Linked DNA regions of Drosophila melanogaster. The protein of the gene in region 3 interacts with the protein of the main gene of each other region in a pairwise test. Each region holds a gene or a part of one and is shown on either strand. Other genes may lie near its edges. The genes, in order: odd, CG14711 and Crtp.

Region 1 (10,774 bases), on a different chromosome or scaffold from region 3:
TCACCAAAAACCGAACTCAGCCCTAAGCTCGTTGGATTCGCTACAGGAAATCGCAGGAATCGCGGGTTTGTTGTGGGGGAGTTGCCTTGCGCAGCACTAATATGACCAGAGAAGTCAACTGCCCTCCGGATCAATCTAATTATTTTGCCAAATAAAGTGCAACCCTTTTGCGGATCAACCCTTCCTGGATTCGCTACACTCAAAATGCGAGACGTAAACAGACAAGGACGCGAACATGGAATGTGCAAATGCTCGAAGGATACTCGGTCCAAGTTCACAAATCCCTTAGCTACTCCTTTTGTCCGCGATAGCGATAGGGTCTTCCAGGTACGATGGTCGTGCGTGAGCGAGGGAATATCTGGTGAAACATAGGTACCTCGTTTCGGGAAGGAGTAAAAGTGCGACGCGCCCACCGCAATGCGAAAGACAATGGCCCCGAAGCCAAAGTCCAGTTCAGGGTAACGTTTAGGGTTAGGTTTTCTAGGATACCGGTTTTACGATGCCAGCGACAATACCGATGGCATCCTGGCTACCTGGTTGCCCCGGCCCGAAACTCACCCGCCCACACCCCTTTAATTACGCTAGTAAAGGGTACACCCCTTTTTCCGACGAGCCAGCGTTTTGGTTTTGGTCGCGGCAACTTAGGGCCATGGTGTCCTTGGGTTTACGATTCGCGGAGTCGCGGGCGTGACGCGTTTATGGTGTGTTTAGATACTTTTCGCAAGCAATTCAAATCGCAACAATGCCGCGTGCACCCGTCTTCTTCCTTTTCGTCGACAGCCTTGACTCCTGCACATCCCTTCGTCAACGGCTGGGTAAGAGATCCCAATAGATTTACCTAATTATCAGGCGAATCCCAAGGACTTGAACAATTTTAGCGACTTTTTGGCGTTTTGCCAGCGAAATCGAGGTTGCGAAATGGTTGTTGTTGCCCAGTTCGTTGGAAGCGTTTCCAATAACTGAAATTGTTTTTTCCTTTACCTCATAGCAGTGGCTATAGTTGGTCTGTTTTCGCCATGAAATTGCAAATTGCCTTTGAACGAAGCCTTGAACCGAGGCTTTTGGCCCTTTTCCATCTTGATGCCTGAGAAAATTTTGCTGCATTATACGAGTGCCCGCCCCTCCCCCATTTGGGGAAATTATATAAAATTGTTTCTAGAGAGCGTAAATGGCGTACTGAAATCTGTAAGGCATAAAATCTATAGCTCTGTTACTTACAACTTGCACGGATACCTTCATCATATACATTTGATTCCTAACTGTGATTTTTTAGTAGAAGTCTGGTTATAAAACACATTTCCTCACTACTATTACTTCCTCGAATGCACCAAAAACTACGATGACTTCTTTCAGTAGCCAAAAGACGTTCGATTCGAAGGAAAAACTTCGAGATTTCCCTACAAGTGAAGGTCACCAAGTCGAGATTCCCAAAAAAAAGAGCCCTACTTTATTTTCCACGGCTAATATAAAAAGTGATTTTGGTGGAATAGCGAAACCCCTGGCATATGGCCCACTAAAAAGTCATTTTACAATTATTACCGATGACTTCGCGCACTGCGTAGCTGACATTTCTGCTCTAAAAAATCTAATTTTATTCGTGGAAACACGAAAAAATACCATAAAATATGCATGGCAATGGTCCAAAAAAAGAGCAGACCAAAAAAAAAAACAGAAAGAACATTGCTAAAAACCGGGTCACAGTCCGGAGATCCGAGAGTCAAGAACCAAGGGTCTTCTGCGAAGTGTCTTTGGGCGATTTTATGATGCCAAAGAAGCGACTAAGTAAGTTGTCATTTTCGGTTTATGATGATTTTGTGATTTTTTGCTCTCGTTGTTATATTTTTTACGCTCTACATATTTGTACTTCGATTTTCGATTTTTTTTTCGCAGGCCAGGACCTCCGCAAAACAATGGCAGACTACTAATGTCGAGCAGGCCGAGAGTTTTATAGTTTTTTATGGCTTTATGGCCGAGCCAATGACTTCTTTATTGGTGCAGGTCCTTGGCGCGGAGGAAGCGTTTCAGGTCTTTCCAAATTATTTTTTATGGCCATCGTTCCTGCTTTCCGCATCCCTACGATTTGGTTTCCGTTTCCGAGTGTCGGAGGATCTCTCTACTATAAATCTCGCGTTTTCCACATGCAAATAGTGGGACATGTGTTTCCCCCGGGAGAGGGCTAATCCTTTTGGCCATGTGTTGACAGGCGCAACAACAATAGTAACAATATTAGTAACGACAACAAATGGATATAGCAGGAAGTCAGCCAGTGCGATGCCATATATCATGTGCTGGGAAATATTCGGCCTGTGTCTTTCATGTGTCTCCACTCCGCTGGTGTTTATCTATTTATTTATTTATTTGCCTTTGTACACTTATGACATGATGTTAATTACCGCTCGCGACTCCACAGGCCGAAAGGCAGGGAACCGAAAGGGTGGGCGGAGTCCGGGCCGTCACTTTGAAATGGAAAAGTTCGCCGACTGTTTGCCAACCGTCAACAGCGGCGACAATTGCCAAACGCCGAGGCTAAAGCTAACCGACACTGGCAAACCGACGGTACATCCGATCCGATGTTGGAACGGATCGAAAATCAAAAATCGACAATCCGAGAGTTCCAGACACACGCACTCTGGGAAAAAACGTCCTGCAGCAGGACCTTTGCCTATTGATTCAGGCTGTTTGATCATTGGCTCGCCGCCGCTTGGGAAAGTTTGTACTAAATGTTGTGTACATATTGCTTAATTTAATCACCCAAAGTCAATCCTGCCAAGGACCGCTTGTGACGGAGTGTGTCGCAATGGGCTTAGTCTCAGGATCCTCGGATCCTAAGTCCGTATACGGGTAAAACCAGTCAATGGGAATGTTTCTTGTTTTGCCAAGTTAAAGGATTAGTCGCAGATCCATTGCGGAAATGCTTCACCTGGAAAGTCGACAAGTCAAAGTCATGGGAATGTACGGAATTCGGAAGCAGGATAATAGGATATGCATTATCCATGTTTTGTCGGACTTGGGAAATATCTTATAGTTGGCGGAAAATCCAACCGAAGAATAGGATTTAATTCGGAAGCATAAATATGGCATGTGCAATTTAAAACTATTCATTAATGAGGAAAATTCGTATTTTCTTGAATGCTATGAAATATTTGTCTTTTTAAATGAGATATGAAAAATATTAATTATATAGAAGCCCGAATAATAATAATAAAAATTGTAAAGATATTTAACTACAATATCCTATAAATAACAACTACATTAATTTGATGCTTCAATAAATTTTGATTGGAAACATTCAACCCGCAGAACTTATATCTTTTAACCTTTTCCTATGACTTTACCTATTTCTAGTTTCCAAGCAATTTCCTTCAAAATATGTTAAGAAAACTGCCCATAAAGTGCACCTGCTTGTCTCGATTCAATTACAAATTATTAAATAATTATCCAAGTGAGTAGCATGAAGCATTTCGAATGAGGAACTCATTAAAGATGATTTGACAAGCTCGAGTCGCACTTCAGTTGAAAACGGTGAAAGTTCAACTATTACTTAACAACTACTTAAACAACTGAATTACAATAAATACAATACTGAGTAAAATAATTAAAAAAACTCGAAAATAAATGGTGTGTGAAAGGCATACCCAAAACTAACCAGTAATTGTGTACAATCCTTTTAATAAAGTCTTTCAATTACATTACCATTACCTCAAACTCGTCGTTAATTTGCTGTAAAATATGTCCGGCTTATCCTGCCGGAAACCCTTTTAAAAGCCAATCAATTTTCGCTACAAACGGCCGTTTCCACCCACTCGAAACTTTTATCGCCATCGCTTTGAAGCGGCTAATTGAATTCCAGATTAAAGTGTAAAGCAAAATGGGGGGGAATAAAAAAAACTGATTTGTATTGCAAATTAAAATTTAAGTGAAAACGAATCAGGCGCAAACACAAACAGGGACAATAGATTACAATATCCTGCGGCGCAGACAGCACGACATTAAAAAGGCACGAGGAGCAGCGAGAGCTGGCGCGGAATGGGTATGGACATGGCAATGGAGGTGGAAGGGACGCGCCAGGACGACACAGGACCTTCGTGCAGCTGCTGCTCCTGCTGATGGCACATGCGCCTGGGAGGGCTGCGTTTCGGGATTGGGACTGGGATGCGGGCTGGACTCCAGCGATGGCTGCCTGCCATCAGCGGCAGAAGCAGCAGCAGCAGCAGCAGCTACAGCAGCAGCAGCAGCAGCAGCAGCAACGGCAACGGCAGCAGCAGCAACTACGGCAGCAACATCGGCAGCAGCAGCAACACCAACAATATCCCAGGCTTGCGACCGTCAGGCCAACGGTTTCCGCTTGCTTACTGCTGGAACGGAAAAAGCCAAGGCACATATATCCATGCACATCCACAGGCACATTCGGTCGGAGCCACATCCATGGGATAGTAGATACCGAACGCTGAGGGCCAATCCGAGAGCAGCAGGTAGGCGTGGACGTATCTACCATTTCCAAACAACTTCAACCCCGCCACAGGCAGCTGCCGTTGGTCGGGCCGCTCGCCACCCTCGTCGCCCTCCTCCGCACTTCTCGGCCGGTTCAAAAACGGGTCGCCCTGCCAGCAGTTGCAGTCAGTTATTAACGAGCGCTACTCCCAACAGCAACATCGCTCAGCGGCAGCAGCAGCAGCAGCAAAAGCAAAAGCAAAAGCAACACTAACAACAGCAACACGAGTCACTCAAACGTGGAAGCGAGACAGGAATATCAGCACTCCACTCGCCTCGTTTCACTTCGATTCTCAAGCGTTTGAGTCGGAGAGCGGCGAACGGCCAACGAATTCAGTTTGTGTCGAGACGTTGTCGGTGGCACGTCGCATCCAAAAGAACGCTCAGTCAGCTGGGAAATATACTGAGAAAAGATACATTCGTAGATACAAGTGCTAAGCCAAAGTGAACCGTGCAGTTCGCGCAACTAAACAATTTTAAGCCAAATAAAACTACACAAGGCCAACAAAGACAGTATAATGTCTTCCACATCGGCCTCACCCATCAGCAACATAACCGTGGATGACGAGCTCAACTTAAGCAGAGAACAAGGTGGGTTCAAGTTCAAAACTGGCTCAGAACAACTTGGCAAATGCCGACGGCAAAGCGCATTACTCTCTAGCACTTTTTGACTAGTTTCAAAAAATGTTCCATTAATATTTGAAAGTAGTCTCACATAGCATTGCATTTATATGAATTGAAAACTAACCGTGGGCATTTCTATTCCTTCCTTTTTAGACTTTGCTGAAGAGGATTTCATAGTGATCAAGGAGGAGCGCGAGACAAGTCTCTCCCCCATGCTGACGCCCCCGCACACGCCCACCGAGGAGCCGCTGAGGAGAGTGCATCCGGCGATAAGCGAGGAGGCGGTGGCCACCCAGCTGCACATGCGACACATGGCCCACTACCAGCAGCAGCAACAACAGCAGCAACAGCAGCAGCAGCACCGCCTGTGGCTGCAGATGCAGCAGCAGCAGCAACAACATCAGGCTCCACAGCAGTATCCAGTTTATCCCACAGCCAGCGCCGATCCCGTGGCCGTGCACCAGCAGTTGATGAACCACTGGATCCGCAACGCAGCCATCTACCAGCAGCAACAGCAGCAGCAGCAACATCCGCACCATCATCACCACCACGGCCATCCGCACCACCCTCACCCACATCCGCATCATGTGCGTCCCTATCCCGCTGGCCTCCATAGTCTGCATGCCGCGGTCATGGGTCGCCACTTCGGAGCCATGCCCACCCTGAAACTGGGTGGTGCCGGTGGAGCGAGTGGTGTACCCAGCGGCGCAACTGGCAGCAGTCGGCCAAAGAAGCAGTTCATCTGCAAGTACTGCAACCGGCAGTTCACCAAGTCGTACAATCTGCTCATCCATGAGAGAACCCACACGGACGAGAGGCCTTACTCCTGCGACATCTGCGGCAAAGCCTTCCGGCGACAGGATCATCTGCGGGACCACCGGTACATCCACTCCAAGGACAAGCCCTTCAAGTGCAGCGATTGCGGCAAGGGTTTCTGCCAGTCGCGCACCCTGGCCGTGCACAAGGTCACCCATCTGGAGGAGGGTCCGCACAAGTGTCCCATCTGCCAGCGGAGCTTCAACCAGCGGGCCAACCTCAAGAGTCACCTCCAGAGCCACAGCGAGCAGAGCACCAAGGAGGTGGTGGTGACCACCTCACCAGCCACTTCACATTCGGTGCCAAACCAGGCATTGAGTTCGCCTCAACCTGAGAATTTGGCACAGCATCTGCCTGTCCTGGATCTATCCTCGTCATCCTCGAGCTCAGAGAAGCCCAAGCGGATGCTGGGCTTCACCATCGATGAGATCATGAGCAGATAGATTGAAGGACCAGCGAAACCCGGTATCCGGTTTCTTTTGAGACATTCTAAAAGAGATTCAGAGAGCTGGACGTCCGCCAGGCATGGGAAATGCCTGGAATGGAAAACCAAGCGAGTCCAGCCCGCATTCTGGCCAAAGGTGCAAGTGGAAAATCCTCGCCAGCAACTCGTAATCGCAACCCAGTGAGCAGAAGAGTCATCCTCCGTGCAATCGGTTCTATGTAGCAGATCCCAATTGCGTTAAACAAATGCCAAAGTCAAATAGCAGAGGAAAACTGATGAAAAATCCAATGAAAAGTATTGCTAGCACAAGCCTCCTACAAATCGATTCCAAAACACACACACACACACACAACTGTAAACTATAAACTTTAATAAATAGCACATAATTTATATTGTAATCTAACTATTATTGTATGTACCTTATAGTCGTAGTAGCCCATTCAGTTCGTAGTGCTTATGGAGTAAACCAAATGTTATGTTACAATAGCTCAATCAAACAAACCTCAAACCCGCTTTGGTTATTGAAAGACTGTTTTAATTATTATATTTAAATAGTACTTGAATAAATCAATCGATCGATTGTGTAATGTTAAACCCCGACGAGTGTCATGATTACTTACTGTTTAGACTTAACAACTTAATTGTCGCTATAGCAATTGTGACTATGCACAACGATCTCATTGTCGTCTATATGTATGTCTGAAACATTCGTATTGATATGAAGTTATCACAAAAATACGTAAATATAAACGCAAAGTAATTTTCAACTGAAATTTAATAAGACTTTTTATGAATACGGTGGATTTTGTGTTTCCAGGTATTTGGCAATGGCAATTTCGCCTTGATTTATCATTACTTCTACTGGCAACTTGATAATCTTTATGGTGTACTAAGTTAAAGTTATCTGAAAAGATTTAAGCAGCAATTTTTTGATTACCTTCTACCACCTACTGACTGATTCAAGTTCCAAGCGGACTGAATGATTTTGATCTACTTTTAATCACTTTGAAATCTTTCTTATCCGCTGACTAAATCCCACGCCATTCCGATTTGGGAATTTTCTCATGCTGCGAATATAACTCAGTAGACTGAACTCGTAGGACCATATAAGTTGAACCATCAAACAGCAGCTGTCAAAATTTATTAACCATCCGAATATAACTCAGTTTTTATGCAGATCTCGATTTGCGCATTTTTAAGCAGCTCTATTATTTTTCAGGTTGCCGATTAAGTAAGCAGAAGTCTCGCCACCAAAAATATTCAAACTGTCGCAGAAGTTAATTTATGAAATCGAATCGAATTGAATTTGATGTCAGTTTTGCTATGATTTTGTCATGAATCGGTTTCGATTTCGGTAACACTATGGTTATTGTTTAACTTTGAGGTGTGGTCCAAATATTTATGGCCTGTGTTTCAGTTTTGGGTTTAGTTCAGTTTTCATTGTGGCTTCTCTTGAAAATCGGGAACGTGCCAAATGCCTTGCAAAAGGTATGTTTGATTTCCTTTAATGGTGGTTTTCTTTTCTAGTTTCTTCCATTGGCAATTGCATTTCTCTTAGCACGCTTCTTACTCAGAACTGTCAATTTCAGATTGTGATCTTTGTCTCAAAATCGAGCATAGGATTGTCTTTAATTGAGGCCTGAGGTCGTTCTGGTTACCCCCGGGGGGAACCCGCATGAGGGGTCTGCATCTGCCTCATTTGCTGCTCGATTTCCATTTCCATTAGCATTTCCATTTTCCATTTTCTCCACCTTGATGACATACTCTCGGGCCTTATGGCCATGTACAATTGATTTGGGCCCTCTCATTGTGTTGGCTTTGATTTGCTTTGTTTTCGTGCCAGAAAAGTGCCAACGTATTCGCCAATTGATGTCTACATAGATGCCTTTTTTTTTGCCCAGGATTACTTTTGACAAGTATCCTGGCCGCGCCCCCTTGGCCATGCATATCCTGCTGACTTTGGCCAAACCTTAACCTTAGTCTTATCTGGCCGAGTTGGTCGGGTGGTCAACCGTAGGACTTGTGTTCCGTGTTTTGCAACACTTCGCCGCAGGCAGTCTAAGGACCTCGAGGATCTTGGTGTCCTGGCATTTCGACACACCTTGTCCATAATTGCACTGCGTACAACCAAAATATTTTGTGAAAGTCACAGCGGGAGGGCGAGTTATCCCGACCAGATTGATATGTGTCCGCATGGGGTTGTGAGTCCCTTTTTTTTTGGGCCATTTTGAGCCACAATTAAACGCATCGGTTCCGCAACTAGGGTGGCATGCAGCTCCGTGTCCTGTGGATGTCCTGCCATTGTAAATTGTAGTGGCAGGACGTGCTGGAAAGTCGCCTGCCAAAAGTGAGCCATTTACTGCCACAGGGGCAGTCTCCTCCTATTTTCTGCTCCTACCGAGCATGCAATTTTAATGAGCTGCCCGGGGGAAAAGGAAGGATCGGCATAGGGGCACATCCCATTGTCCAGGACACGTTCGCACTTGGCCCTGTTCGCCTTTGGGCCGGGACCACCCTGAAAAGCCAGAATGATGATGTTGTAAGCCGGTTGGTCGACAGGTCGGCTGGACGACTGGTCAACTGGCCAACTGGTCAACTGCTGAGGTGTTCAATTAAAACGTTGCAAATCAATTTGCCATCGAATCGAATCGAGGACACGCTTAAAATGGCCGTTGACAGAAACACTCATAGATGATGATGACAGCATTACCGCAGTAACATAACTCGAAACCCATCTAAAACTATACAAGAGTTGTCAAGTGAGCCAAGCCCAAAAATATATATACAAACAAAACTTGTCTCTCGTAATTGTACATTGTCTAGATTGTCAGCTTTAAAAGTGGTTTTGATATGCCGACATCGCAACGCCTTTTGGCTCACAGCCACAGACATCGCATTGCCACTTCACCATTTCCATGCACTGCGATTTGAATGCTTTTAGGAGGATCTTAACGAAAGTTAAAATAGTATTTTATTACTACGATTGTGTACTTTTAACTATTAAGAATTTGATACTAGCTTTACGAAAGTGGAACCGTTAAGAAATGGATATCTAACATTTAACAACAAATGACAAATATGTTGGTTACCATCAATATAAATCACAGCTAATGTGAAAGTGATTTGCATAATTCGGAAAATGCTATGTGATATATGTTCATATCAAGGGCAACATTAATCACTTCCCTTTCTCATAGTTTAGATTTAATGGAAAAATTTATATTGGGAATAAAAAGTCGCACAGTTACTCATGCTGGTTCTTATCAAAGTATATCATGAGCACTTGCTTGGAAAGTACTTATACGCAACCACTTCATAGGACACAACTATTAGACATCATACTGCAATCAGCCCTCTTGAAAGCCCCCCAATTCGTTTAGGCCACCCTTTCAGCCACGTCTCTGCTAAACAGCACAACACTTGATTGTTGCACGTATGTTCTTTTTTTTTTGTGTCGTTGTTGACTGTGGCGCACAGTAGTCGCATGTGTCACAATGTCGCAGCCTAATTGCACTACACGCGTAGTTACTTAGGGGAAAAAGATCGGAAAACTCGGCTGACAAGCCTTTTCTCCCCTCTTCGCCGTCAGGCGACGACACTAAAATTGGTGGGGAGATACTCAGATACACCGATACCTAGATACTTTGGCGCGCAGATACTCAGATACTCATATACTCATATACTCGACTGAGAACCTACGACGAGCACTCGAGGCGAGTTCAATTTCGAGCTCACTGGGTGGTTCGTTTTTATGGTCGTCGCCTCTATCGATCGGCTATTTTGACACTTTTGCTTAAGAAGGTGTTTTAAATATAACTTACTTAGGCCCGAACAAATCTTAACTGGCCATAACAAAAGCAACTGTCTGGGTGTTGGCACTGAGAGAAATTACTATGGCATTATTGATTTTCAGCTGTTTTCCAGCAGCAATGGATTTCTGTTAAAATTATCCTTTAAAATTTAATTCGGAAGGTTTTGGAAGGATTTTTTCAAGTGAATAAGATTTTCAATTTGAGTACAATTTTCCGAGTGCACCTCCAACAATTTAATCGCCTGAGGCCATTTTTCTGCCCCGACTTTTCCACCTTATCAGCCCGGCTCAATCTCCCCGAGTCAGTGCATTAATTGACACCTAGAAGTGGAAAACGAAACCGGAGAACCCTGCAGCCCAGAAGAAGATGCCTGGAGACAGGGGACTGTGCTGTCAATTAGGTTGCTGAATTTATCGCCGGGCACAAATCAGTTTGGGAAATTGGTTAGCCCCGAAAATAAAGTTAGCCGGGCTAAGAGAGCGATCAATTTTATAGACGGACAGCCGACGGGCATGGAGGTCCCTGGAAGTCCATTCGATAGGGGGATCTGGATTTGGAATGGGACTACCTCCTACTCCTCCCAGTG
Region 2 (10,010 bases), on a different chromosome or scaffold from region 3:
GTTTTCACAAATAGCCAAGGAGTTGATTTTTAAATTTACCGTTTAAAATTAGATTGTTGCTTTATAGCTGGGAAATTATCTATAAATTTCCATGGCATTTTTATGTTACTGGAAATGAAAGAATTCCCTCCTACGGATAGAGGTATATGATCTCAATGCACAATTTACACAATTATTAGGATATGTTCTGATTATAGAGAACTAATCGTAGTAATTTAACACTATAAGATTGCTTATAATGGCTTTAATTTCTGTATATATACCAGGAAGATAAATAGAGAACGACAATTAAACTAAAAACTTCAATTTCTGAGTAATTAGTTTAGAAATTGGAAGGCATTCAATAAAATTAACGATATATAGAGTATCGTAAGGCCCATATTTTATTGATTTACACTTTTGAGTGGGCCCTGTACAGTTTGCCACAGTTTTTCGCCTACTTCAGCTAGTTTGATGGCCGGCACAATGGTGGAGTGATGACCAATTTGAAAACTGGCACAGAGAATGGAAAACACAAAAACAAGCGCCACCTCGGTTGCAGTCATAAAGGCATTAGAAGAGGGGAGCGGTGCGGGGTCAGGGTTCGAGATGTCCATCGGCTGATGTGCTAGATATAGTATGTGATATATGTACGTATGTACATATAATAATGTGGGCGGGGGAGGCAAACTGGCACACTTGCTGACATTGCAGTGTGCACTTAACTAGAACCACCACTGTGCAGTACTCACACACACGCACACAGTCAGAAATGCCCGTGCATGTACTAACTACTCAAAATGGTCATTTTCCCGGTTGCAGCTGTGAGAAGTGAGGTCCTATATTGACAGCGGGGGTTGCCTACGGAGCACACATATCAAATATCGGTTGTTAAGGGCGTTTTCTAACGAGTCCATAACAGACGGGAAATGGAGTTCCGAAATCGAATAGGAATCGTCATCACAATCCTTGCCGATCCAAAACGAACAGTTCACCTAACTGTTAATCCAATAAAAGATCAATACACGCATTGGGCGAATAGAGCTGCGAAAGCGCAAAAGGAGAAGGAATTCGGAACGGAAGTAGGAAGAGAATCCGCGGTGGAAGCACATAATAAAACCAACGGAACGTTAAAAAAAAAAGGAAGAAGCAAAGAACGGCACTCGGTGTTGTTTTTGCAAATCTGCAAATCCCAACCAATACCATCGTGTACACCCACACGCACACATGCACACGCGTAGATTATTTTTCAAATATGCCGGCAACTGCTCTTGGTTTTGATTTGATGTACTTACTTGCTGCTGGCCTGATTATCGGTGCAATCAAAGTTAGAGATCATTTTGCCGCTGTAGCCGCTTATTGGACGATCGGTAACGATTAAATGGAAAACTGGCACACACGTAACAAAGTGAAACACACAAAATGCAAGTGGAAATGCACAGAAAATTGCAGATGCCGCGGCACGTTCGTTCAGTTCGAAAGGCGAATTAAGTGTGGCTGCCGCCGAGCCGCTAAATCACGCCGTCGGCTCGAAAATGAAAGGCACTAAATAATACCACAGATGCAGTGGCGGCGCTATAAATAGTTTGAAGGGGCTTCAGTATTTTTTTTTTAGCTTTTTCGTAGCTGATAGCTAGTTTAGGCTTAATGGTAACTTTAAACTGAAATGTATTTAAAACACTTGTAGGTATTTTTTTCATGGCAAATGCGGTCACACAGCGCAGGTCTAAAATTGTTTAAAACTCATTTAATTGAAATTAGCCTTAATTTCCAGCCCCCTTGCAAAAAAACGCTAGCCAGGATGGCCAGCTTGCCAGTGATTCTGCAATGCAGGATCTGCTTGGGCGATTTCGAAGAGAGCCAAATGATCTGCCTGTTTGGGGATAAAGGCGAAAGTGACCTCAGGAAAAAGTTGGAGCTGTGCTGTAGGATTAGGGTAAATGGAGCTGACCAGATGGGTTATATGTATCATTTCATTACTCCAACTCCCCCAGGTTCGCCAATCCCCGCAGCTGCCCGAGAAGGCCTGCAACAGCTGTTGCGAATTCGTCCAAATGTGGTTCAACTTTCGCCAGATGTGCCTGAACTCGCAGGTCTACTGGGAAACAAGTTCCTCGGAGAGACCAGAGGCTCTTGCCCAGGCAAGCGATGCCGAGTATATGTTGTATCTGTACGAGAACCTACATCTGAAACTAGGCACAGAGAATCAGGAGAAGGAAGAGATCACCGCAATAGAGGAGGGGGATGAACAGCAGGAGGATCAGTCCCAGGAAGTTCTCGATTTTAACGGATTTATCATAAACGAATCGATTGAGGAGGACGAAGAGCCTAATACGGAAAGTCCTGAGCAGATTCTGATTTCCCACATGGACTCCTACGTTGATGATCAACAAATGGAAGAACTCATTGATGATAAGGGTGAGCTTGTCGAGGAATTATCCAATGCAAACACGTTTTATGAGGTTGAGTACGGGGACGAGGAACTTCTCATGTCAAGCGCTCCTTCGCCACATCCCAGCTTCAAAATGGACAAACAAAAGCCGGGAAGGCCTCGCAAACCGGACGCCGAACTGAAATTCAAACGCAAGGATATCAACGCCAAGGAAAGGGGGAACCAGCCAAAGTGCAAGGAAGAGGAGAAGTTCATGTGCATCCTGTGCGGAAACGTCTTTTACAAGAAATCTGTTTTCACGGCCCACATGATGACCCATTCAGAGTACAAGCCCCACCAATGCGAGTAAGTGATATTAAGGTTTAGGAAGGAACAAATTTATCCTACAAAAATGTTATTGCTTTCAGAATATGCAATAAATCTTTTCGACAAATGGGCGAATTGCGAGCACACATCCGTCGTCATACGGGCGACCGTCCATACAAGTGTATGTACTGCGACCGCCACTTCTACGATCGCAGCGAACGGGTCCGCCATGAACGGGTCCACACCAACACGCGTCCTTATGCCTGCCAGGAGTGCGGGAAAACTTTTACGCACACAGCCATCCTCAAAAATCACATCCTTTCGCACTCCGCCCAAAAGAATTACAAGTAAGGGAGAGTAATCCTTTCTAGTGATTTGCACTTTTTATTAATAATTTGAACTTTTCAGCTGTGGTATCTGTTGCAAGTCATTCACTCTGCTGCACCAGCTGAAAGCTCACCTGCAAACGCTAACCCACCGCAACAAAATGGAGCAAACCATTCCCAGCTCTCCGGAAATGTTAGAGAGCTAATATAGTAAATTAATTGAGGAACTAGGGTTATCTATTATAAGTAGTATAAAGCCACTTTTCCAGAATAGACCAGCTATTTTTATTAACTATTCTACCACGTCGCTGTACTCCTTAGCTATCAGACGGTGCGCAAGAGACTTCTCGTGCGCTGTAAGTTGGTGCTTAAGCCGAAATTCTTTTTTACACATAAGACACTTGTGAGACTTTTCAGACGAATGCAGGTAGTAGTGAGCGTTACGAGAGGAGGACAGAGAGAATGTTTTTCCACATATGTTGCAAGCATAGGGTCTTTCATTCGTGTGCAAACTGAAATGAAGAAATTCAACATTGGAACTTAAATGCTGTACACAATATATATAGTTTTTGTCCATTCTACCGTTCGTGCTTGCGATGAGTGCTGTTGTCGGCAAAACGGCGCGAACAGTAGCAACATTGGTAAGGTTTCTCGCCCGTGTGCGTCCGCATGTGTGTTTTCAGGTTGCAGGCGGCTCTGAATGTCTTTTGGCAAACCCTGAATCATACATTTTATATATGAAATATTATGTTAAGATATATCACGGATACTTACTCGCACTGGTGGTCCTTTTCCTTGCGGTGCACCTGCGAGTGTGCATTTAGCTGAGATAAGCAGCGGTATGTATTGCTGCAGATCTTGCATCTGTACTTGTCCGGCTCGCAGGCCACTCCTAGATCTATCACGTAGTCGGCACTTGGCTCTAGATTATGGTAATCCTCGCTTGTCTCTTGAATACTGTCCGTAGCAGCGCTGCTTTCTTGCGAATACGTTTCGGAGTAATTTTGATCGGAGATCTCCCTGTCCAAATCCATATCACTGATGGTATAGTCCTCCTGGTGTATGTCTTTCTCGTTTTCCGCATTCACGTTGAGATCGAACACGAAATCGCTTGAAAATTTATTTATGGGTAAGATTTCATCATCTTTGGTCGTTTCCAATGCATTCTCTTGAGTCTTAAAGTTAATAGGATTCTCTTCGATGAGTCTCCCCGAAATGTTCTGCTTCCTGGCGCGTTTTTTCTGTTCAAGCTGGTCCTTATCCTCCAGCGTCTCAAATGCCGATGCGGAGGACAGAGTTTGACGAACGAGGCTTCTCAGGTGCGCGTCGGATTGTTTGCACGCGCTAAGAAATCTGTCCACCTCCTCCAGTTGCATCAAGCAGACTGTGCAAATTTGATCCGGCAGTCCATCATCCGGTTTCACCTAGGAGAGAGGATTTGTAACTGGTAAACTGGAAGCCAAACAGAAATCGAGTACTCACAGATGTGCCGGCATACGAGATCAACAGCTTGTGGGCATTGGACTCGAAGAGCGACTGCAGCGTGGATTGCGTTCCTTTTTTGCGGCAAGTGCGGCACATGCTCCATTTAATGCTGATTTCCATCGTTATTTCCGCAGGAAGTCCCTCTTTCGCGTCAAATGCCGATTCAAATGCCAGAGCAGTGAATTAAAAGTAAAAGGGTTGTCAGGTACGCGGAATTAGTAACAGTTTTCAACTATCATTCCAAATTTTTTTGCATTTAGTTCTAAAACTGTATTTTTATTGCGTGACTCAAGCTTAAATATTTAATAGGGCCCACCTGTTAGTTTAAAAAAAAAAATTAAGATTTAATTATTATCAATTATTCAATCGATATGCCGATAGCAAGTTCGATAGCCATTTATCGTTTTGCGTACATGACAACCCTGGGAAAAGTTCCAAGACGCTTGTTTATTTCAGAATTGCAAGCATACGTACGTCCAGGACGTGCAAGATAATGCCCGAGTACATGTTGTGCCGAATCTGCTTGACAGAGGACATCAACTCGGAGGCGATGGCGCCCCTGTTCGATGACAACGACGCCCAGTGCCGGGAGCTGGTGCGCAAGATTGAAGAAGTGGGCAGCATAAAGGTACATGTGGATGCAAATGTAAAATCCTGCGACTTAACCCACTCTGTGCTTTCAGCTGGTGCCGCTGCAGAACATCCCCAGTATGTTGTGCTACAGCTGCGTGGAGCGACTGACCAGTGCCCACAAGTTCCGGGAGCTTTGCCAGGAGAGCGAGCGCACATTTGCCACCAATGTAGTCAAGGTACGTATAGAGTTGATGGGCCACATATAAACATCCCACTTGACCCGGTACCATGTCAGGCCGAGATGAAGTCGGAGCCAACGGACGAGGTGCCGCACGTAGTGGCTGACAACATTGAGTACATCTACGAATCGGCCAACGACTTCATCGACGGTGTCGAGGATGACATCGGAATGGAGAACATCATGGAGGAGCCCCTGGAGGATGGTGTCGGGGAAACGTCGCAGGCCTACGAGACTAGCACTGTAGTGGACGACCTGGACGAGGATGACTTGCTGGTGCCGAATAGCACCGATAGCGACTACCAGCCCATCGAGCGCTGCCGCAAAGCTAAGGTGCGTAAAACGCGGATGACTAAACGTGGACGTGGCCGACCTCGCGGTGCTAGCTCCGGACACCCACGCAGTTTTAGCGAGGAGCGTCCGCCTGTTCAAGCTAGCTTCAAATCATCTCCCGAAGTATCCTCCACGAACATTATGTGCGAAATCTGCGGCAATATCTACTCCAAGCGAGCCGCTCTCAACATTCATATGCGTCGTCATATGGCCGAGAAACCATTTAAATGCGAGTGAGTATCTGAAATTATCATCTGAACCATTTTATATTATGTAAATCTTATTCCGCTTACAGAATATGCAGCAAATCCTTCGCGGGTCCATCCGAGCTAAATCGCCATATCCGCGTTCACACGGGCGAGAAACCATTCTTGTGTAAATATTGCAACCGCTCGTTTGCGGATCGCAGCTCCAATATTCGTCATGAAAGGTGAAGATGCAATTCCTCATAGTAATCTTCATATAAACTATACTTGTTCCTTTTGCAGAACACACACAAACGAGCGACCTTTCACTTGCTCCACATGCGGCAAGGCATTCTCCTACTCTAACGTGCTAAAAAACCATATGCTCACCCACACGGGCGAGAAGCCTTTTCTGTAGGTCCATTGACTGCTTTAATCATGTATAACCCTAAATTCCCTTTAATTTTTCAGCTGTCGAGTCTGCAATAAGACCTTTTCCCGCAAGCACCAGTTGGATCAGCATTTGGGCACCATGACCCACCAACAGACTGTAATACACCACAAAAACGAACGGACGGGGCGCTATTAGTCGAAAACAATGCAATACAATTTCTGTTAGATAATTCATTAATGTACATTTAATTATATATAAAAATTGTAAAATAAAAAAGAGTACAAATGGTCAGACCGGATGTGTAAAATAATCGGATTTGATTTATTACTATTTGGTTAAAGAACTTGTTCAAAAACACAAATATTTTTTGTAATGTTTTTTATTACGTCCATATATTCGAGAAAAAAATTGGAACACGATTACAATCTTTGATTTTGTGCGTTTATTTGGTAGTTTTAACATCATTTTGGCCATTAAATGAGTGTGCGTTTTTTATTGTTTCTTTTCTTTGTGCTCTGTCGAAGACTTTGTTACCGTTTGTGGAAGCTACAACATGGAATAATAATCGAATGGCACAGGATTAATTAAATCTTCTTTTTTTGGACAAGTAAATATGTTTTGTTTTTTTAGGTTTATAACTTGTAACGTTTTACATCAAAATCTAAAAACGTTTGGAAGTCGGGAGGGATGCGGCTCTTCTTCTATTCCTTAGGGAAACAAAAAGTAAAACCAAATATGCTAGATATTCGCATAAAATGGATTTATGCGAATACCTGTACTTAAATGTACGTCTACCTTGTTAAAGAAAAGGACGCGGAATTTTAGAATTCTTACCGATAGCTAATTAGTGTAATGGCTAGATAGGCAGCTTCATTGTTCAATGGCTAGCTCCGTGAGTTTCTCTTCTTTGCGTTTATGAATATTGCTGGACAGGTGGGTCATCAAATGGGAGATTCGTTTGAAGTGCTTCTGACATACGTAGCAGCTGTAAAATCAAAGTGTGTTGAAACGTGTAATACAAATAATGTGCAGAGTTGGCAGAAATCGAAATGCCCACTAGTGATTCCGCGCATCCACATGGATCATCTTGTGCTTCCTGAGACATCCGGAGCTTACAAAACTCTTTTTGCACGTGTCGCACTCGTAGCGGCGTTCGTTCCGATGGCGGCGATGGTGCTCCTGGCGAGCGCCTGAAGAGGAGAACCGACGTGGACAGTAGACGCACACGTATGGCTGCTCGCCCGTGTGGATACGCGTATGGCTAGTCAGTTCCTTTCGAGTTGCAAAGCTCCTTTCACAATTCCTGAGGAGAAAAATCGTATCTTAGGTGCACTAGCCCAAAGGAGGTTAAGGATAATTTACAAAAAAACACAGTGGAAATTCTTGATGCCTGTGTGCCGGAGCGTGTGCTCTTGAAAGTTTGACTTATTGTTAATGATCCTTCCGCAATCAGGGCATACATATGGACCAGTACCTCCTCCAATTGACTTTTGATGGTTCAAACTAGTCGGTGCTGAGACCTTTTCAGCACTTGGCATTGGAAGATCTTTGACTTCAGGACATAGAATGGACTCGTCCAACTCACTCTCAATTTGGTTATCATCGATGTCTTCGTATATTATTGGATCTGTGGAGCAATCCTTGCTGTCGCACTCAATCCTTTCCAGATTCTGTTTCTCGGCAATGATGCAGCGCTGGCGGAACTTAATGGCTGCCTGCAGATTGTCCAGGCAAGTCGTGCACATTTGGCCGGATATTTCTTTCTTGCAGCTTAGCTGGAAAGTATAAATAGCAAATTAAGTGCCATGATTAAGGAATATTTTTAGACATATTACCTCCACCCCAGTAATGGAGTGAATTTGACGAACTAGATGACCGTTTCCTGGACCAAAAAGGTCTATTGGGGCATCTGATCTAGAGCAAATGCGGCAATTCAGAATTCGCATCTCGACTTTGATTTGTTTTTGAATAATTGTTTACTGTTTACGTTTCGAGCAGCTTATGCGAAATGTGTCGTTAAGCTATTTGCATGGTCACTCTAACTTTTGCACGCATAAACGCTGTTTAGAGTTTTTGCACAGGGATTAGTACCTTATGAAGTAACATAAATACAAATATGTTTTATAATCTCATTTAATAAGAGTACCATAATGGTTTACTGCACTTTTTAAATCATTTAAGTCACACAATGGCATTGCCGCACTTATCGATTTTGTCGATAATAAAACCAGCTGTTGCATCACAATATATATACATACATATGTGTAGTGGATGCGTTTACAAAACAATTGGTTGTTTATATTCGAATTAAACTGAAGTTGGGCTAAACTTCGGTTGATTTTCAACTAACATTATGGCGCTCCAGTGCCGGACCTGCGGCAGCATCATCTACAATAAAATGCCCAAGAATCTCTTTCATATTGAGAACGAGAAGATGCTGCAAGACATAAATCTTGTCACTGGCACAACAGTATGTAAGAAAAATGGTTTCCATTTGATTTGTGCAGCATTTTCTGTGATTGCAGCTCCACAACGATCCAGAGCTGCCCAGCAGCATATGCGCCTGCTGCACGCTTGACTTGAACCAAGCGATTTTGTTCCGGGAGCGGTGCATCCTAACGCAGAAGCAGCTCGTCCATCGTCGTAGATCTCCCGAAGCGAAGGAACCGGCTGAAGATGTTGAGGAGATGGCATCACCGCCGGATTGTCTGAACGATCCATTCGGGGAAGTCGATGAATACATTGTGGAATCCCCAGAAGAAGTTTTGGATCATGATAGTGATGCTCATCATGATCTGGATGAGGATAATTATATTGATTCTGTTGAAGATGTTGATGCGCTTCAAGATATGGCTGAAGTAGCCGAAGAGGATTCTCAAGATGTCGAATCTCTGATCTCAAGTGTACAGAAAGAACTTGAGAGCATTTGCAACGACGACAGCAACTCGGATAACAACGATTACATGGAGCCCCAAAACGGTTCCTATTTCAATGAAACTATAAACGAATATGAAGTATCATCGAACCCAAACACACCGCTGCCCGAATCGAAGAGTGCAGCAGGTCGGTCAACGAAGCCAGCGACCACAAAACCCAAGCGGAAAAAACAGTACGTTACGTGGAAAAATATGACCGAGGAGCAGATCATAGAGCGTAAGCGACTGCAGCGTAAACGCGAGTGTGTTTGCGAACAGTGCGGCCGGCAATTCACCGACCAAAGCAATTTCAAGCTTCACATGCTGCGGCACACGGGCAATAAGAACTTCGCCTGCCAGCAGTGTGGCAAGCGGTTCTACACCGACCATCTCATGACGCTGCACCAACGAATCATTCACCAGGGCGAGAAGCCATACGACTGCCGCTTTTGCACCAAGTCCTTTCACAATAGCAACACTCGCCTCATCCACGAAAGGTAAGGGACGTATCCTTGTATCCACTACGGATTCGGACATTTCTGAGCTCAAACCAAAAAAAATCCTTTCTAGGACTCACACCAATGCCAAACCCTACAGCTGTCATCATTGCGATAAATGTTTTAAGTCAGCTTCGGGACGCAAGCGGCACGAACTAATCCATACAGGAGTGCGAGCCTTTGCGTGAGTATTTTTTGACTAGGCGTTGGTATTCCAAAATTTAATACAATTCCCTTTGCAGCTGCACCATCTGCAAACAATCCTTCCAGCGCAACACTCACTTAAAGGCCCATCTGCGATCTAAATTTCACACTGCAAAAGCGAAAACCATTGGTGCGGAGGTACTACAATTATAAGCTGATATAGTATTTAAATTAAAAAACAAG
Region 3 (10,870 bases):
TGTGAAGGGCATCGAGTCCTCGGGCGATAAAGGGTTTGGAACACTGCTGCCCTGTCGCAGCCCTGACATTTGAATTGTTGTCACTGAGCTGTCTGTCATTATGAAATAGTAGGTCTCGTCATTTTGCACTGTACTTTTTCATTATATTTTATTCGAGTGAGCATGTCGTGTCCGTAAGTAACTAGGTTTTTCCTATAAAAATCATAGCAAATTACACCAAAATCTTTTAGCAGGAGCATCGAGATACCAGATGGCAGTTGGATCGATTGGTTCCTGGGAATCAAGGGCCACGAATTCTCCTGCCGGGTGCCCAATGAATACATCCAGGACAAGTTCAATCTGACGGGCCTGGAGTTCGATAGCCAGACACTGGAGGTAGTCTTAGATCCGGAGTTCGACAACGAGGACTGGGACTGCGCCGAAGAGAAGAAGCTGTATGGCATGATCCATGCACGGTACATCGTTTCGCCGCGTGGCATTGAAGATATGCGATTAAAGTACGAAAGGGGGGACTTCGGATCGTGTCCGAGAGTCTTTTGTAAGAGGCAGAAAGTCCTGCCAGTGGGCCTTCACGACGTGTGGGACAAGGCCCAAGTTAAGATCTATTGCCCTAGCTGTAACAACGTCTACATCCCGCTACCCCACAATGGAATGCTGGACGGAGCCATGTTCGGGACCAGCTTCCCGCATATGTTCTTTATGCAGCTGCCAAGCTTGATACCCTCTCCGCCCGTGGAGAAGTACATCCCCCGGTGAGTAATTCTTCGAATATAATCCTTGTTCTTTTCTACACAAAGCACTTGCACTTCCAGTATCTATGGCTTCCAGTTGCACAAGAAGGCCCTGATGCCGCCCGAATCAGCAGAGTCCCCGCCAATAAAGGTCGAATCCTCGGTCAGCAAGTCGCCCTCCTGGCTAAGGAATGTCCCGAATTTTTAACTCCACACGAACAAAGCACACAAATGTTGGTTTGGTCTGTTGTTGCAATTAAACAGTTTCCCCAATGCGTTGATATGGCCAGCGACCACTAACACATGGGTGCACTCTCTCTGCCCTAAACACTTCACACCATTCGGTCCACGCTGGCCATATCAAGCAGTCATTCGAAAAGCAAAGCGTACTTGCCGTTAATAGTGGTAATCACCTGGGAGTTCGGAAGTGAAGCAGCTTTAAGCGGCCTATTCATCCGCTTAGTGTTGTCAGACACTGCGAGAAAATGGTTGGAAAGTTCTGTTGCACGGTCTAAATATAATTAGGATCCTCTACTACTCGAGAATTGGCATCAAGTGCACAAGGATTAAGGATCTACACTCCAAACGTTGAGTTAGATTATATTTCATCCCTGTGTGCGTGCTCCTTAAGTTCGCTGGACTTCGCAATAAAAATCCACTTGGCGGCACAACCTGCTAAGCCGATAATGGGAATTACGTTGAGCCGAGGCGTGGGCAGGGATTCGTGAATTTGCAGGAGGAGCCGCGTCCTGTTACTGTTCCTGTTCCCGATCCTTTGCCGCTGGCATCTCCAATAAGTCATGCCTTTATTATTATTTACTGCCGCCCTGGCGCTTTCATTTTCAGTTTTCCACGCCACTCGACGCCTTTTTCCTTCGAGTGGAGAAGAGCGCCTTTTCCGCTTTTCTCCATGGCGCCACCACCCTGTTTCTCGCACTTTTCACACTTAATTTCATTAAGTAATCATTCATACTGCAGCTTTTATTGAGTTTTAAACTGGCGGACCGTATAATGAGAATGTCTGGTGGGTGGAAAACGCGGGAAAATGAAAAAGCGCAGGATGCGAGCGTTTTGTTTTACATTACAATCGAGATGGCAATGTGGCTGGACTCGGATTCCTTTTCTCTGGCGGGACCTTGTGGATTCTTTGCCACCTGTTGTCCGCATCCGCCATTACTTATTCATAGTAATTTCTAGAGACCCCATCGAAATACAGAAAGACAGCTCGCCGTCTCATTTTCCACGTATTTATCCAATTTCAGACGGAACACGTCGGTCCGCGTGGGCAAACAAATCCGATTGCTGTTCTTGTAAACAAAGTGTCTGCACCCGATTGGAAACTCTGTTCCTGGTGCAGCTGTGTTTCCATTCTTCCGCCAGTGTGTTTTCAAGAATGGTCGGGTATTTGATTGTATCGCCGCAGGCTCCACCACATCTATCCACCAGTGGAGCCCAGTGGGAATACCCAGCCACCAAGCTCCCTGCCCGCTTTCAGAAAGATGTTTTCCGAGTGCCGCAAAAGCCCCCACTGAAATATTATTGTGTACAGGCTTTTCAAAATATTTTGACTCCCTTCGCTGGGCACACAATAAATACAATTCGAACGAGGTCTTTAGAATTTCAATTTTACGAATGATTCCTGGGCTGTGGAATGCACAAGAAAAAGTACGACTTTAATCCGATGCAGATAGAAAATAAATAGGAGCAATCGAAAACTGCATTTCTGTTTTGCTCTGCTGTAGATATACATATAGTTTAAGAACTCAGGTCATTAACTTTCCCCCCTCGACTCTTTATTCCCTAGACTATATCCATTGTTGCATGCAACCAAATTGGGACTTCAAATGTTTCATTATCTCTTTGGCTGACAATCGGTCCATACTTCGCATAGTTGACGTAATTTTAAGACTCTCCTCTATTAACCCCGTTCGGGCTAAGCGGTTCAGCAATTTATGGTTAATGGCACTAAATTGGTTAACTTTGGAAGGCGGCAACTTTTGCAAACTTGCCAAAGGAGAGTAAGACGGCGGTTCCGTTAATTTGGAGCCGAGCGGTTGACCAAGCCCCGAAAGACAGCTGCAAAGTCCTAGGAGCCGGCTGATTAACCCATTGGGACGGATGGCCTGCTCCAGAAAGGACACGGCCGTAATTATCCCGGCGAGATTGGCCGGCCGGAACACTCAGTCCACTTCACTCCGCCGGAGGACGCTGGGTTCATCAGCCTGGTTAGCAGCTCAAATTAAGTTACGGGCGGAACGCCGGACATGTCTGCCCGGTAATAAGCTAAATGAAAACAAAAATGGATGTCACTCAGTGCCGCAAGTTGATGAAGATGAAGCAGGAGGTCTTTGAGGTCCTGGGGTGGAGGTCGTAACCCAATAACTTTGGCCACGCATTAATGGGAATTTATGAAGCCGGCCACTCTACGCCGGAGATTCTGCGCTAAACAAAGCGCGTAAGTGTCGCTGGAAAGGGTTACTCACCAATCCTCCGACTTCGCCGAGAAAATGGCAGAGGAAATGGAAAACTGGCAAAGGGGAAGAGAAGTCCTTTTGCGCCAAGTTTAAGTGCTTTTAAAAAACCATTAACGTCATTTCCTCAGCTGTCTGGCTCCATTCGATGATGGCCGAGCATCCTTTTTTCTATATTTATCTTTGCCAACGGAAAACATTAATACAATAAGACCGAGAAACGTAAATTTTGTTAAAGTGGATGCGATGATTCCTGGTTACTTGGCTTTTTTCTTTGAATCTGGCTGTAGGGATCCGGATCCCCAGGTTCCAGTGGGATTGGGCACGGGTGCTGGCCTATCGTTACCAGTTGGAGGAGTTGCCACCGCGGAACCAGCTCTTTTGGAGTTCCTCTTCATCTTACTTCTCACTGGAGGCTGGGATTTGGGAAGGGGCACATCTTTGGCCTCGGCAAGTTTTGGTTCCGGTGCAGTGGGCTTGGATGTGCTGATGGGTGGACTAGTAAGCGGAGGAGGACCTTTCAGGCTGGAACCTGATTCCCTGGAATTGGGAGCCAAGTCTGGTTTGTTGAGGGTAGTCAAAGCCTTGCCCACAACACTTCGGAAATTGGGCTGTACACTTTTGGTCAAGTCCGGCATGGGCGGCAGCTTCATGGAAAGCTGGCTGATTTTCCTCTGGTTATCCAGCGGGTCATTGTGGATCACCTGCATGGGACCGGGACAAGCGGCGACCGTAGGAGTATCCGTATAGCAAACATGACGGCCATAGTCAAAGGACTCTTTGCTGTCCGTGTCGGGCATTCCCCTTCGGTGAAAGCAATTGATGGGACAGGAGGCGACACAGGGAATGTATGGCTTCTCCACCTCGGCCAGCTTCTTGATCTTCACCGAGTTGCAGTAAATCTGGTGGCGATCGGCCACCTGCTCCTCGCGGCACTTCTCCCGCTGCTCGTACTTGCGGTACGCCAGTTCCGCCTTGGAAAAGAATCCTGGCCAGCAGTAGTCCCTTAGACTGCTTCTCTTCACCATCCTGCCCTCTGGTCGCATGTCCAGCTGGTTCTGCCGCTCGTAGCGATCTACGGCGGTGGCAATGGGATAGAGAGGTCGCCCCACCTTTCTCGACTCCTCCATGATCTCGACCGCCTGCTCAAAGAACTTCTTGTCATCCTCCAGGTATGGATCCTCATTGCAGGCGGCCAGGTTCATTAGCTCGGCGCGCCGCTTCTCGAGGAACTCTTCCCGCTGGCCAAAGAGAACGTTGCGCAGCTCCTCCTTTACCTTGTCCCTCTTTCGCTTCTGAGAGGCATCGAAGAAGCGATTCGCCTCGGCGTTCTTAAGGCGGCGCGCCACATGGAAGCGCTGCAGCTCCTGCTGGCGGCGGAGCTTCTCGGCGTCCTGCTTCCGCTCCAATTTCTGATACGCACGGCGCTCCTTGGCCAGCATCTCCCTTTCGCACTGACGCCGGCTGTCGTCCACCTGCGTCTCAAAGGCATGGCGGTCCTCCGCGTCAATCTGGCGCTCTTCCAGCTTCTTTTGAAGCACTTGCTGCGCCTGGGAGACACGGAGTGCCTGTAGCTCCCTCTCCTCCTGACGCTTCTGCCGCAGCTGCTTCACGTGGCTTCCATAGCGACTGTCCAGATTGCGACTAGCCACGATGTAAACACAGTTGCGCCGGTCGTCAATGGCGTCGCAAATCCGCTCGTCTGGGGATGAGGAATAATATGAATATATCCAGTTCTGCTAAATAGTACTTACGTTCTGCAATCTCCGCCTTCTCTTGGAGGGCCTCCTTGTAGGCCTTTCGATTGAAGGCGATTTTCCGGGCCTTCTTCTCTTTGAGCGCCTTCTCCTCCTTGTCCTGCAGACACTTGTACTGAGCCCGATCCACCTGCTCCTCGAAGACCCGTTGCTCCCGCTCGGCCTCCCTGATCCTTGCCCGCTGCGCGATGTCCGCCCGCATGAGCTCGGCATGTTCCATATTCTTCGCGGTCTGCCTGGCCACCTCCTCCTCCTCGGTGGCGTGGCCGAAGGGCACCAGGGCCGCAGGACACATCTCCTCATCGGCCCTTTCCTGGGCACGGGCTGCCTCCGCTATCTCCTCGTTAAGGGCCTCATTGTACTTCCTCTGATGAATCATTTCGCTGTAAATGAGCGCCTGGTGCAGAGCGCGGGGTCCGGGCTTCAGTTGATCCAGTAGACGATTGGCTCGCAAGATCCTTTGCTTGCGCAGCCGCTCGTCCGCCAACTTTGTGTCCACATCCTTTACCACTGCCATGGCTTCCTTGCTCTGCGCCCTAGCTGATTTCTTGACCTTCGGAGCATTGGGATCTGTGAACAGGCTGCAAAGAAGCTCGTTGCCGTCCTTCAGGTACTGCCGATACCTGCGTTCCTCCTCGACGGCCTCCATTTGGGCATGCTTCTCATCCTGGCGAGAACGTCCCTTTATGGCTGCAAACCGCTTGGCCGAGATCACCACCGGATGCCGCGTAAAGCGCTTCCGGACAAAAAGTCCATCGGGACCCACTTCCTTGGGCTTGCACACATTCATTTTGGCTATGGCAACATGAATATAGGATCAGTTCGTAATGTTGTTGATTCGGCAAGGGTGTTGTATGTATGATCTCCTCAGAAAACAGGAAAGCTTCGCTTATAAACAAAATATATGTCAACACCTGGACTACTGTGCTTCCATATCGATTTACCTAGGTACTTTTGTTATTTTCTGCATGGGTTACGCGCAAAGAATAAATAATGGCCAAGTTCAAATTAGAATAGATGGATGATTCAAGTGAAAATTGAAGGTCACTTTATCCAGTTTGTCGGAATATTTTTCGATATTTTAGGGCTTGCAGGTGGTAAGCGACGTTCATAACATTGAAGTTCATGTTCCACTTCCGGCTATTCGATTTAAGGCCGCAGTTTGCTACGAATTTGTATTTCACCTATTTAGAGGAATATTAACTTACTTCGAGTGTCAAGTGGTTTCGAGTTTTCGATCAGTACCAGCCTCTAAAAGTGTATTGGCTGGTTGCATTTGGTGTTATTGAAACATTTATTAACCGTTTTAAATCGATATTTAATGATAATGTAATAAACGCATTCTCCACTTAACCATCAATTCAATTTGATCAAAAATAGAACACATATTCAAGCTAAAGAGCCAGGTTACGTCAGTTATCCACGGGTGGTCGACCGACCAAGAGCCATGGATCACAAGGTTTTCATTTTCGCCGTTTCGCTATTAGTGGCCTATCTAAGCTGCGGAGTAAGAAATCGGATTGTAGGACCTAATTACATTTCAATTAAAGCTACACATTCCATCAGGAGGCGCCCTATCTCAAAATGACAAATGCAGTGTGCAAATCGTATAACAAATCGTGGGTGGTTGTTCACTACTGCCGCCTGAAGGCCTATTCTCGAGCCAAGACCAGCTTGAATATAAATGTCACGTTCGTGGAGCCGGCCAGAAATATATCAGTTCACTTTAAGACGATGAAAAAGGCCAATGGGTATAAGCCTTTTTTGTTCGACTACACCTTCGACGCCTGCGAGTTCATGCGAAGGCGCAACCAGCCAGTGGCCAAGATCATCTGGTACATGATCCGGAACGTGTCCACCATCAACCACACCTGTCCCTATGAGGTGAGGTCTCCTCAAACTGCTATTTAGGGACATAACCCATTCCATCTTTCAGGGCTTGCAGATGCTGAGCGACTTTCACAAAGTCGACATTCCTGTGCCACTGCCATCTGGGGACTATCTACTAATGGTCGACTGGTTGTTCGATGGCAAAACGCAGTTCGCCACGAATGTATATTTCACATTTATAGAGGACTTACTGCCGACGAGCTCGAAGCACAGAAGGGGCAGTAAGGAGTTCCCCGTCTTACGGAACTGATATTCGGTTGCTATTCACAAAAATACGAAAATTGTAACGACACTAGAATTTGAATAACTAACAAAAATTGCATCGAGACCCTTTTACTCAGATACTAACTGACTTCACAACTCAGTTCCCGAGAACATTGGTTTTTGAAAGGGAAGTAGATCCTGTAAAATGGAAAGTATAGATTTATTTTCTAGGACTCAGAAGTTCACACGCGTCCAACAGAAGTATATATGCAACTGGTATAATGATCTTCGATGTACATACATAACCATTACGTAATTTTCCAGTCGAATGGCTCCATGATACATCGTTTTTACCACATCTGCTAATAGGGTTTCAACTAAAATTTGTATTTAATGAAGCTTATTTACCAGTACACCGTCAGTTTTCAACGGAGTGGTAAACAGCCATGAATCGTAGGCGGGCCGCTTTTGTTGTTTCGGTAATACTTGGCTTTCTGGTCTGCGGTGTAAGAGATCCAATAACATATTATATATTTTATAAATACTTGAAAGCTTCCCCCAGGAGGCACCCCTTGCTAAAATGACGAATGCTGTGTGCAAGTCGTACAACAAATCGTGGGTGGTTGTTCACTACTGTCGCCTGAAGGCCTATTCCCGAACCAAGACCAGCCTGAACATAAATGCCACATTCATAGAACCAGCGAAAAACATATACCTTCACATGAAGATGATGAAGAAGGCCAATGGGTATAAGCCCTTTTTGTTCGACTACACCTTCGACGCCTGTGAGTTTATGCGAAGGCGCAACCAGCCGTTCGCTAAAATCGTTTGGAACATGATCAAGAACGTATCCACGGTCAACCACACCTGTCCCTATGAGGTGAGATCGTAGTTTGACGTATTTTAGCCCAATTTCGTCGGGTTGCATTTGGATATTTCAGGGCTTGCAGATGCTAAGCGACTTCCATCACATTGATGTTCCCGTTCCACTTCCGTCTGGAGACTACTTACTTCTACTTGATTGGATCTTCGACTTCAAGCCACAGTTCGCTACGAATGTATATTTCACCTTTGTGGAGGGAATGTGAAAAGTTCCAATCTGAAAGCGATTTGTAATCAAACTTTTCTCTGATATCTGCGAATGTTTAGATGGCCCGAAAGTGACTTCACCCCTTGGTAAATATCATCAGAAATTTTATTAATTATGTATCGCCCTGTTACTATATGGTTAAGTAAGGATCGAGATTATAATGCTCTTTGTTCCAGTACCACCTCCTACAGGAGACTTCTTACTCCATCAATCCCATGGAAAAATCAACTGTTCTGTGGGAAAATATTGTAATAATAACAATTTTCAGTTCGACGCAATGGTAGTTATTACAGGGATTTGGTAGCCAGTAACATGATTTCTTGCCAAATAAGACTAGATCTAGTTAATCCCTTTGTTTCTCGATTAGTTTTCCATCAGTTTTCCCTAGCTGGTTCATCAGCCCAGCTGGGAAAAGCTACGCGAATGGCATTCAGGAGGTCTTGTTTGGGTTCCGGTTCATCGCACAGAATAATACAAATCGCAAATCTTTATGCAAGAATTAGCACACCGATATTGATTTCGAAATAACGCCAAAATATTGTTAATTGGTCAATTTAGCTCGCGTACTTTGTATCGCACTAAACATTTTGTATCCCGCTAAACATTTACAGAGAGAAAGCTTCTATTTGCGCTATTTTCATATAACTCCCGCAATTAATTGGCGCCATAAATCGTATTTGAAGACCGGACCTGTTCCACAGCAGCACATGATATGCTGGCCATCCGCAATTAGATGAACCCCAATTAGTGTTAATCAAATTAGGCAAAAACCCGGGTAAAGCAAATGGCGCTCCATCCAATTCCGGCCGGCGTCAAATTATACAGGGAAACTCAGATGGCACACAAATGGAATCAAGAGGGAAAAGGAAAGTTGACTTTCATGCGAAAAGTTTTCCGGAGCTGGGCGTGAATTCCTGCACCCAAAATGTTCATGGTTTTCGGGGATTGGATTTCGCGAGGGGGCGCTGAGGGCGTGGTCAGATGCCAAACACCGGCGATTATTGTTCCAAAATGCAGCGGAGCGTGTAATTTTTTGGGCACGGAAGAAACGCAAAGAATCCGCATCCACATCCAGATTTAGTTTGAGATTCAAATTGTCCAAAGAAACCATTGGACGAGACGGGCAAGGGAAGGCGAACGCGGCCTCTGAAAATTGTTTTGCGAAAATTAGTTTTCAAACTTTCTCGTCCGTTTATCTTGCATTTCTGACGGCCTCGTCCTTTTTTGTACCTTCGTCCTGCGGGCCAAATGGAAATCTAAGCGCAGTGTGCGATATTAATTTGCATTTCGGCCTTGTTGTCATCTGGTTTGTGGTGCCGGGAATTGGGGCGCGGGGGCTTCGTGGCACAATAAAAATCAAATTTAAATAATTTTTAATTTATTTACAGCGTTTCGGTCGAAAGTTGTCGATGTTTTTGTGTAATTGGGATTCTGCGGCTGTTTCGTTCTGGGATCCATTTGTTGGCTTCTTTTTCGACGCTTTCGGCATAATTGCCTCGAAATTACCTTTTGAGTGAGACAGAGCCAAGGAAAAACGAGACTTTATGCAAATCGCTTTAGGGATATTTATTTATTTCGATTTGAATCCTCTGCCTATGAAATACATTTGTTACACACCGCTCGTTTATTTAACTAAAGTTAGACTTACTTAAACGGTAAATTTATTTGGCTTTAACTAGTCAATTACTTAGCTACAAATAAAAATTAATTTAACAGCAATGTCCACATCAACCGACTTAAATTCTTGACAATCACAAAGTTAGGATTTGATTTTGATTCGTCGAACAGTGAGTAATTTGGTGTATACGACTCGAGCTATGGAACTACAACTATGATTAACCACAACGCTTTAAGGTCCGCCGATATCAGAGTCTACGTAGATCCTTAGTCCCTAAGTGGTGGAGAATTTGGCGAAGGGCTTCCGAATGTCGAGCGGGTTCTGATAGGAAAGTCTGATATCTCTGTTTCCATATATCCTACGTTTAATTTAGCCGACGCACGCACAACAACTAGGATTATATTATATGTTACTGGTAGGTATGTATGTTGGGCTGGGAAACTTAGGGTATCACAAACATTGAATGAACACTTACTATGGTTAACTTCTGCTTAACTCGGCTAATTCCGATTCCCCAGATCCATGTATAGTAAAGAAAGTCTAGCTAATGGTATTGAAAGTTCTCAGATGGACAGCAATCATTCAGGTTATAACCAACACAGATTACTTTATATAAAGAGTGGAATATCTGAGGATAGGTGCTATCTTTCATATTCTTTTAGTTAGGCTTCAGGGCGCTTTCTACAGGCCATGGGTATTTTGCGAATCTCAGAGACTTTAAATTGAAAACCCAACCAAAGGACCTCCTAGATCTTAAGCCTAATAGAAAACACACATATTATGGTTTGATCATGCGGTATTATATAGACACTCACACGCACATACACCTATGGAATCTTATAGATACTCGCTCGCTCTCACTCCCTATTCTGTGCATGGTTATACCATATCCTGGACATCCTGGAGTACCGTATCCCGGCATCCTTGATCCCAGTGCCCTCTGTGATCCTACTTGCGATACTCGGCCATTGGAAAGGCGGACTTCTCCGGCGGCGGACTGTGGCAGGCAGCGCGAATCCGGCTGAAGCGCAGGCTGCCCGTGTGGGAATGGAGACGCGTCTTGGCCTGCTGGTGCAGCGGATGGTGCGAGCACTTGGCCTGCCTGGCCA

Evidence for each region.
Region 1: the proteins of Crtp (region 3) and odd interact in a two-hybrid assay, tested with the Drosophila melanogaster proteins (one large-scale study listed by BioGRID).
Region 2: the proteins of Crtp (region 3) and CG14711 interact in a two-hybrid assay, tested with the Drosophila melanogaster proteins (one large-scale study listed by BioGRID).

Annotation. Positions count from the first base shown.
Region 1 is NT_033779.5:3,600,594-3,611,367, reverse strand, and holds odd (odd skipped), read left to right. Parts: upstream 1-4,611; 5' UTR 4,612-5,009; coding exon 5,010-5,082; intron 5,083-5,268; coding exon 5,269-6,374; 3' UTR 6,375-7,144; downstream 7,145-10,774. UniProt on the Drosophila melanogaster protein: Pair-rule protein that determines both the size and polarity of even-numbered as well as odd-numbered parasegments during embryogenesis.
Region 2 is NT_033777.3:11,618,430-11,628,439, forward strand, and holds CG14711 (uncharacterized protein), read left to right. Parts: upstream 1-4,909; 5' UTR 4,910-4,981; coding exon 4,982-5,116; exon of another isoform or gene 5,117-5,171; coding exon 5,172-5,297; exon of another isoform or gene 5,298-5,356; coding exon 5,357-5,865; exon of another isoform or gene 5,866-5,873; intron 5,874-5,925; exon of another isoform or gene 5,926-5,927; coding exon 5,928-6,062; exon of another isoform or gene 6,063-6,120; coding exon 6,121-6,231; exon of another isoform or gene 6,232-6,288; coding exon 6,289-6,406; 3' UTR 6,407-6,519; downstream 6,520-10,010. Other genes in the region: CG14710 (uncharacterized protein), read left to right, coding at 1,781-1,915, 1,974-2,716, 2,779-3,024, 3,086-3,209; Zaf1 (ZAD and architectural function 1), read right to left, coding at 3,296-3,515, 3,586-3,720, 3,778-4,427, 4,486-4,608; CG6813 (uncharacterized protein), read right to left, coding at 7,082-7,196, 7,269-7,514, 7,574-7,986, 8,047-8,157; CG18764 (uncharacterized protein), read left to right, coding at 8,565-8,681, 8,737-9,623, 9,697-9,807, 9,866-9,980.
Region 3 is NT_033778.4:24,489,485-24,500,354, reverse strand, and holds Crtp (Caldesmon-related protein), read right to left. Parts: upstream 5,838-10,870; 5' UTR 5,750-5,837; coding exon 4,957-5,749; intron 4,905-4,956; coding exon 3,460-4,904; 3' UTR 3,331-3,459; downstream 1-3,330. Other genes in the region: Ssl (suppressor of Stellate-like), read left to right, coding at 163-173, 231-752, 813-939; CG13590 (uncharacterized protein), read left to right, coding at 6,407-6,466, 6,526-6,843, 6,896-7,099; CG13589 (uncharacterized protein), read left to right, coding at 7,500-7,559, 7,616-7,933, 7,995-8,141.